Arabidopsis thaliana: one gene and its partner. The protein of the gene in region 2 interacts with the protein of the main gene of each other region in a pairwise test. Each region holds a gene or a part of one and is shown on either strand. Other genes may lie near its edges.

What was found.
Region 1: the proteins of MORF3 (region 2) and PAP2 interact in a two-hybrid assay, tested with the Arabidopsis thaliana proteins (one study listed by BioGRID).

Annotation. Positions count from the first base shown.
Region 1 is NC_003070.9:4,751,647-4,759,821, forward strand, and holds PAP2 (Purple acid phosphatases superfamily protein), read right to left. Parts: upstream 4,011-8,175; 5' UTR 3,909-4,010; coding exon 3,213-3,908; intron 3,123-3,212; coding exon 1,848-3,122; 3' UTR 1,453-1,847; downstream 1-1,452. Other genes in the region: SNAP30 (soluble N-ethylmaleimide-sensitive factor adaptor protein 30), read left to right, coding at 1-309, 413-506, 710-834, 918-1,015, 1,099-1,198; AT1G13910 (Leucine-rich repeat (LRR) family protein), read left to right, coding at 4,309-4,405, 4,478-4,625, 4,710-4,781, 4,913-4,984, 5,054-5,125, 5,202-5,345, 5,436-5,516, 5,581-5,652 and 3 more; AT1G13920 (Remorin family protein), read left to right, coding at 6,443-6,567, 6,653-6,750, 6,842-6,999, 7,090-7,189, 7,278-7,656, 7,728-7,809, 7,914-8,108.
Region 2 is NC_003074.8:2,142,765-2,149,578, reverse strand, and holds MORF3 (plastid developmental protein DAG), read left to right. Parts: upstream 1-3,771; 5' UTR 3,772-3,835; coding exon 3,836-4,215; coding exon of another isoform or gene 4,216-4,219; intron 4,220-4,314; coding exon 4,315-4,412; intron 4,413-4,666; coding exon 4,667-4,732; intron 4,733-4,824; coding exon 4,825-5,015; 3' UTR 5,016-5,195; downstream 5,196-6,814. Other genes in the region: IBR3 (acyl-CoA dehydrogenase-like protein), read right to left, coding at 1-18, 189-331, 417-614, 695-936, 1,010-1,127, 1,209-1,307, 1,423-1,542, 1,632-1,709 and 5 more; AT3G06780 (glycine-rich protein), read right to left, coding at 5,340-5,945. UniProt on the Arabidopsis thaliana protein: Involved in organellar RNA editing. Required for the processing of RNA editing sites in mitochondria.

The DNA of each region.
Region 1 (8,175 bases), on a different chromosome or scaffold from region 2:
GGAACAATCACTGCAGGAAGAAGGACTTCTTCAGAACCAATCCTGATAACACCAGATTTCGACGATGACGACAAATACAAGAACGGTTTCAACGATTCTGGTGGTCTGCAGAGCCAAACGACAGAAGAATTAGAAAAATATGCAGTTTATAAAGCTGAAGAAACAACCAAAGGTGTTAATAATTGTCTTAAGATCGCTGAAGATATAAGATCAGATGGTGCAAGAACGCTCGAAATGTTGCATCAGCAAGGTGAACAAATCAACAGGACTCATGAAATGGCTGTTGATATGGATAAAGATCTCAGTCGGGTAAAACTTTTTTTAATTTTTCTTACTTTCTTCGATACGAAAATGTGAAATTATATGTTCTGTTTTATGGAGCGTTGATAAGAAAAAATGTTTGTGAGATCAGGGGGAGAAGCTTTTGAACAACTTAGGAGGAATGTTTTCAAAGCCATGGAAACCAAAGAAGACTAAAAATATCACAGGACCTATGATCACACCAGGTTTTAAAGCTTCCGAGCTCTTGATATTGATTGGATAAAATAATGTTATGATGATCATGTATCTTATAATATCTTAGAGAAGGGTTGATTCATACCTAGCCCGTTAATAACTCATATAATCTCAATCCTTATTGTATTCACGTTGTTAGGACTCTTGATCATGTGTATGGTGGTCATGTTTAATATAGTTATCGAAATTTTAGATAAACCGTCGAAGAAGAGCGAGAATCACAAGGAAGAGCGGGAGAAACTTGGTTTGGGTGCAAAAGGACGATCGAGCAGTCAACCAGCATTAGATCAACCAACAAATGCGTTGCAGAAAGTTGAGGTTTGTGTTCTTTTTACAAGTTTTTGCATCTTATATGCTTTCTTTATTAAGAATACGTATTAAAAGGTGTATGTTTAATGCAGCAAGAGAAGGCAAAGCAAGACGATGGACTTTCAGATTTAAGTGACATATTGGGTGATCTTAAGAGCATGGCCGTTGATATGGGATCTGAGATCGACAAGTCAGATAACACAAATACATACTTTCATACATTTTATGCTTATGTTTGTAGAATACTTACTATTGTTGGGGGCAAATTTGCAGGCAAAACAAAGCTCTTGATCATCTCGGCGACGATGTTGATGAGCTTAACTCTCGTGTTCAAGGAGCTAATCAACGGGCACGTCACTTGCTTTCCAAATAAGAAAACACCTTCCACAAAATACCATTGTTCTTATATGTATATTATATTGTATCATTCTCTCTTCTTTTTTTTACGTTTGAACAGTTGTGATTTTCTTCTTTATTCATTCTTTGCTATGAAAATTGTCAATATTAACGCATTTGATTCAATTTTTTTTCTCAAGCTTAAATTTTCCAGACAATATTCCATGAGTGTTTAATCCTAATATATTGAATTGATCCAATCTAAATCAAACCGATCCAAATAAATTAATCTAATTTACCTTTTGATATTCAAAAAGCATATAACCAAACAAAAATAGAAAACATCAAATCCATACTATAATTGGTTACACTTATGCTTTGGCATAATCAACATTCCAATGCTCGATTGATTAGCCTCTACAATTGTTGAATGTATATATACTCTCATACACTACATAATGTAATTACAGCAAAACTTCTTCAATCTGTAATTACAGCAAATTCTTCAAAAAAAAACACATGAATCATACTATGTAACAAGAATCACTATTATTATAGTGCACAAAAACTTATGTTATATATCTTCCCAGCTGTAGTTGTAAAGAAACATGGTTCTTACCGTGGGAAAAAAAGGATACTATACAAATCGTGCCTCTAAATAATAGACTCAGTTCAACATTATGTGATTATGTCTCCTCGTTCTTGACTGGGATCCAACGGTTTCCAGACGAAGATTTCTTTCCCCGGGTAAAAAACCCGATAATGAACCCTAAAAGCACACCCACAACCATCAAGCCTGCTCCTTTGGCATACCACAAAGCATTAGATTCTGATTTTCCCATAAGTGTAGCAGAAGCAGGAACGGTTTTCAGATTTGGGATTTTAGTACTCTCTTTGCTCCCACTGATTACTACCCCAGATGCTAACATCTCAACAGTATCATGAACTTCGCCATCGTGATTACCCACAAAAGAAACAGTGAGCTTTTCTTTGTTTGCAACTAAACGAGTGTAACCAAACTCACCTGTACGATACATTGATTGTTCAGGCTGAGGGAATATAGGAAGATCTGGATGGTTTGGTCTAGGCTGCCAAATCGGTTGCCAATCTTGACCAGCCATACCGATCACAAGATGAACCGGATTTCCTTGCCACTGTGTGCCGCAAGTGTTGTTGCTTATGGGACAAAACCTTTCGTATCTATGAACATGTCCCCATAGAGCAAGTGTGACATTGTTTTTCACAAACAAAGGTTCTAGATGCTCAACCATCTTTTGTCGAATCATAGTGTCTCTAACCTCGTTGCTCGTAGTGTACATTGGTCTATGTCCTTGCACAACAACAAACGGTGTTTTCTTCCTGTCTACAGACTCTAGATCTCGCTTTATGAATTCATATTGACTACCTCCTTTAAGAAAATTCGTCTCTGTGGAGATATAAACGAAATGGACCGTTCCCATATCATAAGAATAATATAAATTCCTTGTCGGAGGAGCTTTCATTCCTGTAGACTCTGAAGAATTCCCAGGCATGTTAAACTTCAAGCTATACGGCACACCACATTCGCCACCACCATCGTTTCCATAAATAGAAGCTGCCCAATCAGGTTTCCACGGCTGAGTAGAGAAATCATACTCATGGTTACCAATGCAAACATGGTAAGGAACTGTCGAGGCAATAGGCTCAACCTGAGCAAAGAACTCATCCCATACCCACGAGTAACCACGAGCATAACTTATATCTCCAATGTGTGAAATCATAGCTGGCTTATCACCAAGAGCTTCAATGTCACGGAGGATCCACTTCACTGTAGATATGCTCTCATCTTGTGTGCGGATAAATGTCGTGTATGGTGTAGCACAACCCATATCTCCAAACATGAAAGCTACGGTTTCTTCTGCAGTCACATCTCGAGCAATGTAGCTATGGATCTCACTCCATCCCTTAGAATCACTCCCAACCTAATTCATAGAATCATAAATTTGATCAATCAAAACATATTTCTCCCAAATCTATCATGCATAAGCTTCAAAATCGAGACTTTATATTACCTGATAATAGTATCTAACGCCATCATTCAAATTCTTCATGACGGTATCAAAAATCCAACCAGGATCTCTCCAACCAATAGTGGAATTCGCCGGCGAATCACACATGTGCTCTCTCTCGTACCTCATCCCACGCGCCGCCGCGGAATTACCTAACAAATCCTTCGATTCACCGTATCTAACAAAACGTTCTTCACCATCTCCAGCTACAAACATAACACGCATCGTGTTAACCATATTTGTGAACGACAAATGGATCTGCTCCGGCATACCAACACCGGATCCGAAAGTCAGCTGCTCCGATTCAGCTAGAAGATGTTTAGTTCCTGGTAAAGGATTCTGATCATGATCCTTATGTTTCGGATCAATCTCGGATTCGCTCCAACGGAAGATCCGGAATGTGTAATTTGATCGGAGATTGGTTAAAGGAAGAGAAATCGAACCGAAACCATCTTTCCAAGTGGACGATTCATTGAGGAATTTGTAACCAATAAAGTGATCATTAGGAGACTCCGGCGGCGAGTAGAGTCCTAACCAATCGAGATCTGACGGAGAATCGACACCGGACCATTGTATCACAACGGAATCGCCAGATCGATTGAGAGCATTAGGGGAAATTGAAATGGTCGCTTTAGAATCAGCAGAGGAAACGAAGACGGAGACGAAGAGAAGGAGGAAGAAAGAGAAATTAACGATCATGGCGACGGAGGAACGTAAGAATAAATGTTGCCGGAACACCGGAGATGGAAGATATATAAACAGTTGTTTAAACGACGACGTTTCTACCGTTCGTTATGATTGGTTAGCTATTTTTAAAACCAATATTGATTTATGACGTATCACCTTCTTATATATGGGCCTATCTAAGCCCAATATTATGGGCCTTACTCGGTCTATTTAATATATTAAAATATTGTTGGAATTTGAACTGTTTTTGGTTAGTTTAGTTTCCACTGAGCTTGCTTTCTTCCATGGCGATGATAAATAATTCTTCTTCTTCCTCACACACAATTTCACTTTCCGATTTTATAAAATTGATTCTTCTCTTCTTCTTAAACCCATGAAGAGTTCATGATTTCTTAAGCTCGCAGCATAATCGATGGCGAATTTGAGTTTGAGCTTGTATCTAATCCTCCGGATTTACGCTCTTTTGTTGCTGTTCAATGTCTCCTTCGCTAAAACACTTAAACGAGACAGTAAGCTCTTCCAAATTTGTGATTTTTAGTCGGGTTTTTGCTTTTTCTGATTTGAGTTTTTGGTTTTGGCAGTGAAAGCTTTGAATGAGATAAAGAAATTGGTGGGATGGAGATTGGTATACTCTTGGGTTGGAGATGATCCTTGTGGCGATGGAGTTTTGCCTCCGTGGTCTGGAGTTACTTGCTCTAAAGTTGGCGATTATCGTGTCGTCGTCAAGCTGTAATCTTTTGACTCTCATTCTCTTAAAGTTTGAGGCTTTGAATTGATTTTTCACTTAAAAATGGTTTGTGATCTTTTTTGCAGAGAAGTGTATTCAATGTCGATAGTTGGGAATTTCCCAAAGGCTATAACGAAGCTCTTAGATCTCACTGTTTTGTAAGTTTCACTGACTTTGCAATGTTGTTGAAAAGTTGAAAACTTTTGGGTTCTTGTTAATTTTGATGGAAACAATTTTATTGCTGAGTGTATGATTGATTGTTTAAATGAATTTGGATTATGGTTGGCAGGGATATGCATAATAACAAATTAACAGGTCCTATTCCTCCAGAAATTGGGCGGCTTAAGCGGCTTATCACACTGTAATACTCTTCAACTTGAGGAATTCAGTTTGGCTACTTGCTTTGTCTTGATCTTGTTTGGTTTCGTAGGAATTTGAGGTGGAACAAACTTCAACAGGCACTGCCTCCTGAAATTGGTGGATTGAAGAGTCTAACTTATCTGTGAGTAATCCTAGCTCATTTCAGGATGGTTGAAGGGGTTTTCTTGTGGCTCTGTAACATGCTCTTAATATTGCAGGTACCTGAGTTTTAACAATTTCAAAGGAGAAATCCCCAAAGAACTTGCAAATCTCCATGAGCTCCAGTACTTACATATTCAGGAGAATCATTTTACTGGGCGAATTCCAGCAGAGCTGGGAACATTACAAAAACTTCGCCACTTGTAATCTTTGACATTCAGTGCTCTTTATTGTAGATCATGATCAAGCAACTGACTTCAGATATGCTTAATATCTCTGTCATGAATCTGTAGGGATGCTGGCAACAATAACTTAGTGGGGAGTATAAGCGATCTTTTTCGCATTGAAGGATGCTTTCCAGCTCTTAGAAACCTGTAAGTGAGTTTAAGAGTTAGCCATCAAAAGTAGTATTTTGTCTAAGCTCACTTTTGGCTGTAGGTTTTTAAACAATAATTACTTGACTGGAGGACTCCCAAACAAGCTTGCAAATCTAACAAACCTGGAGATCTTGTGAGTACTTGATCACTTCTTTTGATTTATTAACATCATTTACATGTTTTTTCTCTCCCTATCTTATCTTTTTTATGTTTAGGTACTTATCTTTCAACAAAATGACTGGAGCAATACCCGCTGCACTTGCCAGTATACCAAGACTAACTAACTTGTAGGCCTCTCTCCTCTACTAAATACATAACTAAGAACTGATCTGAAAAACGACCTATATGTTCTTCTGCATCCTTAGAGCATGTTTTGATTTAACTTCAGGCACTTGGACCACAATCTATTCAATGGAAGTATACCTGAAGCCTTCTACAAGCATCCAAACCTAAAAGATATGTATGTTCATAAGCTCTCTAAGGTCTCATTGTGTAAGACGATATATAACACACATGTTCTAATTTAATTCTTGATGGGATGTATCATGTATGTGGCAGGTACATAGAAGGGAATGCTTTCAAATCAGACGTGAAGGCGATTGGTGCACATAAGGTCCTCGAACTTTCTGACACAGACTTCCTTGTTTAGTTATGTATAGCACAACTTTGTTTCATTTACAGATAGGAATTTGGCAGTGTTAACTGGTTATTTAAGATTCATTTTCTCTGTTAAAGCGAGATTGTAGTTGATGTGTTTTCTGAATGTAAAAGATTCCTTATCCATGTATGAAAATTGAATATAAAAGGAATCTGGTTTGTTCTTTTCACTGTCGTTTTGAGAAAGCAAAGAACCAAAAAGCTGAAGAGGGAGAAGAATAGAAAAAGTGTTCTTTACTTTACCTGCACATCTTTATGATCCAAATATGAAACTTGCATGCAAAGCAATAATCTCAAAAACCCTTAAAAAACCAAAACCCTCAAACACATCTTCTCAAGTCCTCCCACCATATTTTAGTTTGAAAATGGATACCTTAATCAAGCAGACAAGGTAATTCACTAAATCTCCAAATTCAGATTTTCTATTCAGCCACATATACATATATTGATGTAAAATGTTGTTATCTTTGTCTCAGGAGGAAGCATCCAGCTTCCCAGGAAAAAATTAGAGAGGTTGGTAGCTCAACTAGAGAGAAAAAAGTGTCAGCAAGGAAGTCTGTTTCATTCAAAGAAGGTGCCACAAAATTCTGCTCTGTTGTTCTTAATAGCCTATCAATCTTTGATGCTTGATTAATTTCACATTATCATATCATGTGTGTTGGTAGATAAGAAGAAGCCTTCAAACTGGTTACAGAAGCAGTTCTCGAGGCAAATGAGTGGCCAAAGTTATGATCCCATCGGAGAAATGGATCATGCAGCTGCAGTTGCAGCCACTGCCTATGCCATAGCCACTTTTGAAGAAACTTGGCTAGAGAACTATCATGTAACGGTTTTTAAAAACAGAGTTTTTGTTAGAGTAAACATTTTCTCGTAATTTGAGTTTGTTGTGGTTTGAAATTGTAAAACAAAACAGAGTGGCCTTGAACTTGGACCTTCTTCGTCAAGGAGCAAGAGCAGAAGTGAAGAACTGTTGCCTTTAGAGGAACCAAGAAGCTTATCAAGAAGATTCTCAGGTGAGGTTACAGAATAACTCAAGATCAGATTTTGTTATTCAACTGAAAATGTTTTCTGAAATCAGTTTACGTTTTTGTGTTGACACAGGGCAACTTTCGTTTATAGATTCAGAGACGAAAGATCATAAACCTCCTACACTAAAGTCCCCAATGAGAAAGTCATCTTCGGTAAAAAAGACTTTCTCCATGAACTTGATGGGAGACCACACCAAACAGAATCAAGATTCAGAGGAGAAACATGAAAGACAAAGAAAACCGGTTTCTGAACCACCACGGATACAACCACCGCTTAGGACACGATCAGAACCTCGTGCTCCACCGCCACCTCCTCCTCCTCTTCTATCACCTTCGCCTCTGCGGCTTCCACCTAGGGAAACCAAAAGGCAGAGTTCTGAGCATACTAGTCGAAAGGATGATTCTACAGCTGATGCTTGGGAAAAAGCTGAACTATCTAAGATCAAAGCAAGGTAAGTAGTCTCAATTCACAAAAACTTATTTATGTGTGTTATTTACACTCACATATGTATTACACAAGCAGGTATGAGAAGTTAAACAGAAAGATAGATTTGTGGGAAGCGAAGAAAAGGGAAAAAGCTCGAAGGAAGCTGGACATATCTGAGGTTGATAATATAATGACTTTGTATAATCTAATCTCATAATCATTATATTATAACTGGATGATAACTTGAGTTCATTATTCTCTAACATGTTGGTACATGAACAGCAGAGCGAACTAGAACAGAGGAGAAAGAGAGGTTTGCAGAGATTTAGAGAAGACACAGAATACATTGAACAGATTGCTGCTGGAGCCAGAGCTCAGGCGGAGAAAGACAGACAGAGCAAAGAGTTCAAGGTGAAGGAGAAGGCCGGTGTTATCCGTAGTACCGGTAAACTCCCTGGAAATGCATGCTGTTTCTGACACTAAAACAAAGGATTTCTGATAACTGTAGCTAGCTATATGTATGTATGTGTGTGCGTGAGAGATG
Region 2 (6,814 bases):
ACGTATGAATCACCTTGTCTATATCAACATCAGAATTAGCTATAAGGAACATTGCGGACTGAGTCTCATTTTTTGGGAGTTACCAGTAGAAAAATTGAAGATGACATATAGCTTTCAAATGTTTTCATTTTTTTGTTCAGTTGAGAATTCGAATGAAAGTAGATATCAATATAAAGAAAATCTCTTACCTTCGGATAGAGCATTCAATATTGGTTGCATCAGACGATGCAACTTGTGGCTCAGTCATAGCAAATCCAGAACGAATTCTTCCCTCGAGCAACGGAATAAGCCATTCAGAAATTTGTTCTTTGTTACCATACCGCAGTATCACCTACAAGATAGTACAGATTATATAAATACAAGTAACAAGCAATGAGACAACTCTTGGAACGGTAAACAACATCAGGCTTTTATACCTCCATGTTTCCAGTATCTGGTGCACCACAGTTAAACACCTGTGGAGCCCAAACAGAACGACCCATGATCTCACAAAGGTAACCATACTCCAGGTTCGTGAGGCCCTCACCAAACAATTGATCAAAAGACTTGCCCGAGAGGTTATGTTTATTCTCGGTAGCCGCCAGTTCTCTTCTAGCTCTAGCAGCACTATCTACCTGCAAGAACCAAGAATCAATAAGTACAGTCTCAATCAGGGTAAAAGTAATAAGAGATTTGTAGCGAAAAAGATGCATACAGGAACAAATAAGTTCCATAGGCCTTCTCTCTTTGCCATTTCCTTTAACTTTTCCTCCTGAGGGTGAACGGTCCATCGCATATCTGATTGAGCAAGTTTGGAGAACTCGTTTTCCATTGGGTAGATATGAGTTTCCATAAACTTGATCAACTTCTGCCTTAACTCCAATACTTTTCTGTTGGGGATGAATCTCCCGCTTCCATCCACAAGGCTTTCATACGACGGAGACACGTCTCTTTGAACTGCATCCATATATAAGAAATGTAAAATAAACAGTTATCCTTAACAAACTTGAATCTCAAAGAGGTCGATTACCAGATGGAGGGTGTTCTGGAAGAACATTTTCACGTGCAATATAACCCAAGGCAGACTCTACAAGCTCATTAGCTTGAACCCCTGTATTTCGCGCTCTTTCACCGGCAGAAGCATTCCCCTGCATGATCAACACAATGTCAATGGCTCTACAACTGCATAATAAAGAATCTTAGAATTCAAAAATATGCCCGGGGAATACCATTAACCATCTACTGTACACCCCTGTGTAGATTGAAGCAGCCCGAAATAAGGAGAACGCTACGTAGAACTTCCAGTTTGCAGCAGGCCATGGTTTTCCCTAAAGTTCATTTGCCAATATGTCACTACAACAGAAATTGAGAAAATATAGGCAATGTACAAGGAACACCTGACTTGATTCCTTTTAAAGACTACATGTTGTTGCAGGACAATACCGATGCAGAACAGTATTCTAAGAGAAATTCTGGCATCGAAAGCATTCCTTCTGGAAGCCCAGTAGTTTCAAAACCTTCACTAACATGCTCCTTATCGAGCTGAACATTCACAATGTAATGCTGCCAACACAAATGAACTGTATATCAGAGCAGGAAGCAAAGAAAACTGCTTTATGAGTACAATACAACAAACAAGAATAGGTTATTACCATGCAGCTGTATGCAACATCACACATTTGGTTCCCAAGCGTGGACAATTCCCAGTCAATTATTCCAATAACTCGATCCTACAGTTTAAGATATTTTCAGTTAAGTCTCCGAGACTATCCAAGGATCAGAAAACAAAAGATCTTGAAAGTATTAAGACCTCAGAAGGATGAAAAACGAGATTGTCAATGCGAAAGTCTCCATGGACAAGGCCTGATGTTGCTCCAGTTGAATCTTCCGCGGGGATGTTTTTGCGTAACCAATCAACAAGCTCAAACATCTTTGGATTCCTTTCAGGTTTACCTTCACTTGTTGAAGCCAAATATTGTTTGAACCACCTATCTATCTGAAATGGAGGTATCCAAAAGAAAAAACTTTAGCAAGAGCATATAAGCATTAAGAGAACATCAAACTAGTGAGTAGTGATTTGGAAATTCACCAGCCCCAAATAAAGAACAAACCTGTCTTTTGCAGTAATTGCCTCGCCGACCATATTTCTCAAGACCAATGGCATCCACATCAGCAGAGTGAAGAGATGCCAAGGCTTTGGCGGTTGCACGATAGATCGCATTTCTCCTTTCAGGTGCTACATTCTAAATCAAAACCGATGAAACACACACAAATTTACACCTTTCGTTTACAATGAGTCACATCTCAAGCTAAAAAAACCGTACATACACATTCACATAACAGAGAATATCTTACCGGCAACTTTGGATCAATGAAAATACGTCCTTCCATAAACTCCATAATGTAAAAAGCAGTCCCAATGACAGCAGGGTCAGTGCATAAGCAGAAGACTTTAGGAACAGGAACCTGTGTATGTTCACCTAAAGCCCGAAGCACCTACATAAACCAACCACCATCAAAGTATTAAGCAAAAAAAGCATCTACCTTTAGTTGATACCGTATCTCTTATAAGCAGCATCACAAAAAGTTACAATGATTCTGCATTTCAAAACGGTACTAGAAACAACAAAATTTCATCTTCTTCAAAAATCGAGTATGAACAGTTACAATGAATTTTACAGAGGTAAAGATTATTAATTGATTGATACCTGAAACTCTCGATCAACAGCATGAGCAGATTGAAGAAGCTTGCCAGGAGGCTTCTTCCTCAAAACGTATCGTTTCAAGGAACTCCCTGAGCCAACCTCTATCAGAAACGTTGGATTCGACTGCCCATGTCCGAACTGTATGTAAACCAAACCAAAACAAAACACAGTCAGATAAAAGTTTCTTTCTTACCGGAGAAAAAACCTCGGCGATTGGAAAACATACCTGTGAGACTTTGAATTGGGAAGGGTTGGTCGGAAAGCCAGAGACGTTGTCGGCGGCAAAACGAAACAAGGCATCGTGATCGAAACGGTGAGCTGATTGGATACGTGTCACAAGATCGCCCGTGCTGCTTCCCATGATGTTCCTTCACTCTCCTCTATCTCGCTCTGCTCCTCAGAGATTCATCAACAAGAATAGCTCTCTAAAACACAAATACACGCATTCATACCAACAATTCCATTTACGGAAAGTCGCATAACCTTTCTTTTGGATAATTTTCTTTTTACTTTTGACCTTACAGCAATTTCAGAAATGTTTATCTACTTTTCTTATTTTTGGAGAGATAATTCTATGTTTTCTTTTTTTATAAATAGTAAATACAGTAACCATTTTGATTTTGATAATCATCGTTATTATCGTCATTGTGATTTTATATGCATCCAAAAAAAGCCAAAGATAATTACTAATTACTAACCATATATAGGTTGGAAAAGTTATCCATGAATTAACTTGATGGACATTTTGCTAACTCAAATCAAAATTTTAGATTAGGTGATTTGACTTAGGACGTCATATTCACATTAAGAAAGCTAATACAAAATGAATACGTTTTATAGCTAACGAGGACGAAATTTTCTTTCTGAAAACACTTAAGAATGAACAAACAATTTGACAAGCGATAATTGAAACATTTTTTTAACACTGAAAGTGTTTCAATTAGGAGTGTTGAAGTATTTGACAAGAAGATTTAAAGTATTTTTCTGTTGGGAAACTTTTAACTACTAAACTAAGGAATTTAATGTAGAGAAATTTTTTAATAGCCCATCTAAAAAGTATAAATCAAAGGCCCACTAAGCCCATATAGTTTCTCAAAGCTTCTGCAAAGAGAAGGACCGAAGAAGAACAGAAGCCGAAACCCTCACCGGCGATGGCTCTTATCAGCACACGGCGAACATTATCGACACTCCTAAACAAAACCCTCTCTTCCTCTACTTCATATTCTTCTTCATTTCCTACGCTCTCTTCTCGTTCTCGATTCGCCATGCCTCTAATTGAAAAGGTTTCCTCTTCCCGAACCAGCCTGGGCCCGTGTTACATCTCGACCCGACCCAAGACATCCGGGTCCGGATACTCGCCGCTGAATGATCCTTCGCCGAATTGGAGCAACCGTCCGCCGAAGGAGACGATTCTTCTTGATGGGTGCGATTATGAGCACTGGCTCATCGTCATGGAGTTCACTGATCCTAAACCTACTGAAGAAGAGATGATCAATTCTTATGTCAAAACCTTAACTTCCGTCCTTGGCTGGCAAGTTCCTTTTCATTTGATTTTGACTCTCAAATGTTTTCTTGTGCATTTGGGGATTGACGGATTTGCATTTTGTGGGTAATAATGGTTAAACTATAGTGAGGAAGAGGCCAAGAAGAAGATTTACTCTGTTTGTACTTCGACCTACACTGGCTTTGGTGCTTTGATCTCTGAAGAGCTCTCTTGCAAAGTCAAAGGTATCAACTTCTCCATATTTGCAATTAGGTTTTTAAGCCTTTTTTGCTCTGACATAGCTTTTCTAGTTGTTTACTTATGATGTTGAGATTTATCGTAAAAGGCTTTCTCTGTTTGGTACTGCTCTGTTCAACAGCTAGGAGGAAACTTCTCTTGATCTTTGTTTTATCGCAGTTATTGTCTGTCTCTAGTACTATAAAATGAGAACATATTTTACTGTTTGAGAAATCTGATCTAGAGTTGTGTGATTCATTAGCATTGCCTGGTGTTCTCTGGGTGCTGCCGGATTCCTATCTCGATGTACCAAACAAAGACTACGGAGGTGTGTAACGTTTGTAGATTTTGTCTGAATGATTGGGTACTGAGATATGGTTCTTAATACTGATACCATCTGTCTTTGGCTCTCATGTTCAGGTGACTTGTACGTTGAAGGAAAGGTCATACCCAGACCACAGTACAGGTTCACGGAACAGCGTCATACTAGACCCCGTCCTAGGCCAAGGTATGATAGGCGCCGTGAGACAATGCAGGTTGAGAGGAGAGAGCCATCCATGGGTCTTCATTCTCCAGTAAATCCGGGAGAGTTCAACAAGCCCAGTGCTTAATATTAAACATGAACAATGCATTATGTAATGGATGGAGTTTATTAGGATTATGGTATTTACATGCTTGTCTTAAACACTCATGTGAGAGACTTTTCAGTTTTTATCCACTTAATCAAACAAATCAATCATCATTCATGTCTCTAATGATGACTAAACACTACTCTAAACAGAACAAATTATAAAAATCTAATGTGAACTTGCGAAGGAGAAATTAAATAAATATGTACAATGTAATATATATACACACGAGAGATCATATGATGTAATTGGAACCGAGATTAAGAATACTTTTAACCAGGAATCATCACCACGACCACGAATTTGTCAGCATACCGGAGATAATGCAATGTTCAACTTCTCCCTTTCACCGTCGGTCACGATCCTCACTATCCTCTTGAACGCAAAGTGCACACAATTAGACAACGCGATCCAGCAAATCACTTCATACACAAATTCCATCGCTGGATCTGACCAAGACGAAAACGAAGACCCATCCCAATTATCCCTCCCGAAACCACCGCCGCCGCCGCCGTAGTTCCATCCCTTTCCGCCTCCATCGTTTCCTCCGCCTCCAAATCCAAATGGACCGTCGCTACCACCGAAATCACCTTCTAACAGAAAACGACCAAAATCTCCTGCGTCATCTCCATCTCCACCAAACGAAACTCGCCTGGTTCGTCGCTTTTTACGGATCCGGCGAATTGTCTTATAAGAGCTAGATCTGACCGGTGGAGGAGCAATTGCATCGACGGGGAAAATAATCGCCGATGCTTGAACGATTCCTCCACCGGGAGATTGATGATCAACAACGGAATCGGCGAAAGAAATGTGATTGGCCAAATCCAACCTTTGAAGAAGAGATTTCCCAAACGCGATACCTTGCTTAGCCGTGCAAACTGTGACTGTATCTGCGATCAAAGAGAACTCCATGATGATCTACAAATCCGACGACGACGACGACCTTGTTCGAATTCTCTTTTTTCCCTAAAATCCACGAAATAGTTTTGGATTAGGGATTTTTACAACATTGCCGGCGAATTTGGGTAATGACGGGAAATAAATCAGGAAGCTGATTCGGATCCGAAGGAGGCGGATAAATTGTACACGTAACTGATTTGCGCGTTGAATAGAGAAGCCACGTGTCTTGCAGTATTCACACGTGAGTCGCACGCAAGAAGGGTCCATTAATACGTGAAAGCCCAAAGTTATGGGTTGGGCTATATAATTCATTGAAGAGTTTTCGTATCACATTTCTGAAAATATACGGGTTCTATTCATAAATATAAGGAAATATGTGTCAAAAAAGCAATATTGTGGGAGCAGAAGATGTGCTTGTTCATGTGATCATTTCTCAAGGAAATTTTTCTACATGGAGTAAATCGAGAGATTATAACAACGTCGATTTAAATTATATGTGATTTCTTAGAAAGAAATCGATGGCATTTCATATGTTTAAATGTTCTTACGAGGTTGTTTGGTATGCCTTCTCTGAAATTCACACCAAAAAAAAAATGAAGTAAAATTTATAGCATAAATGGCTAAACATTTATCGTCGGTCCATAACCTAATCCTTCTGCAGATTCATCATCGACAATTTTTATGACAAATCTCACGTGCTCACTGACATTTGTTTTTTCAGACTTTAAGAGCTTCCAAACTTTGTTTTTTCATACATTCGTTAAATATGTTTCAGAAATAAAAGTTCAGGAAGTAATTGACATTTTTTATTGATAATCTAGACGTTAGCATTCCCATGTGATTATTACTTTCGGGTGACCAATTACAACCGCTATGTTTGA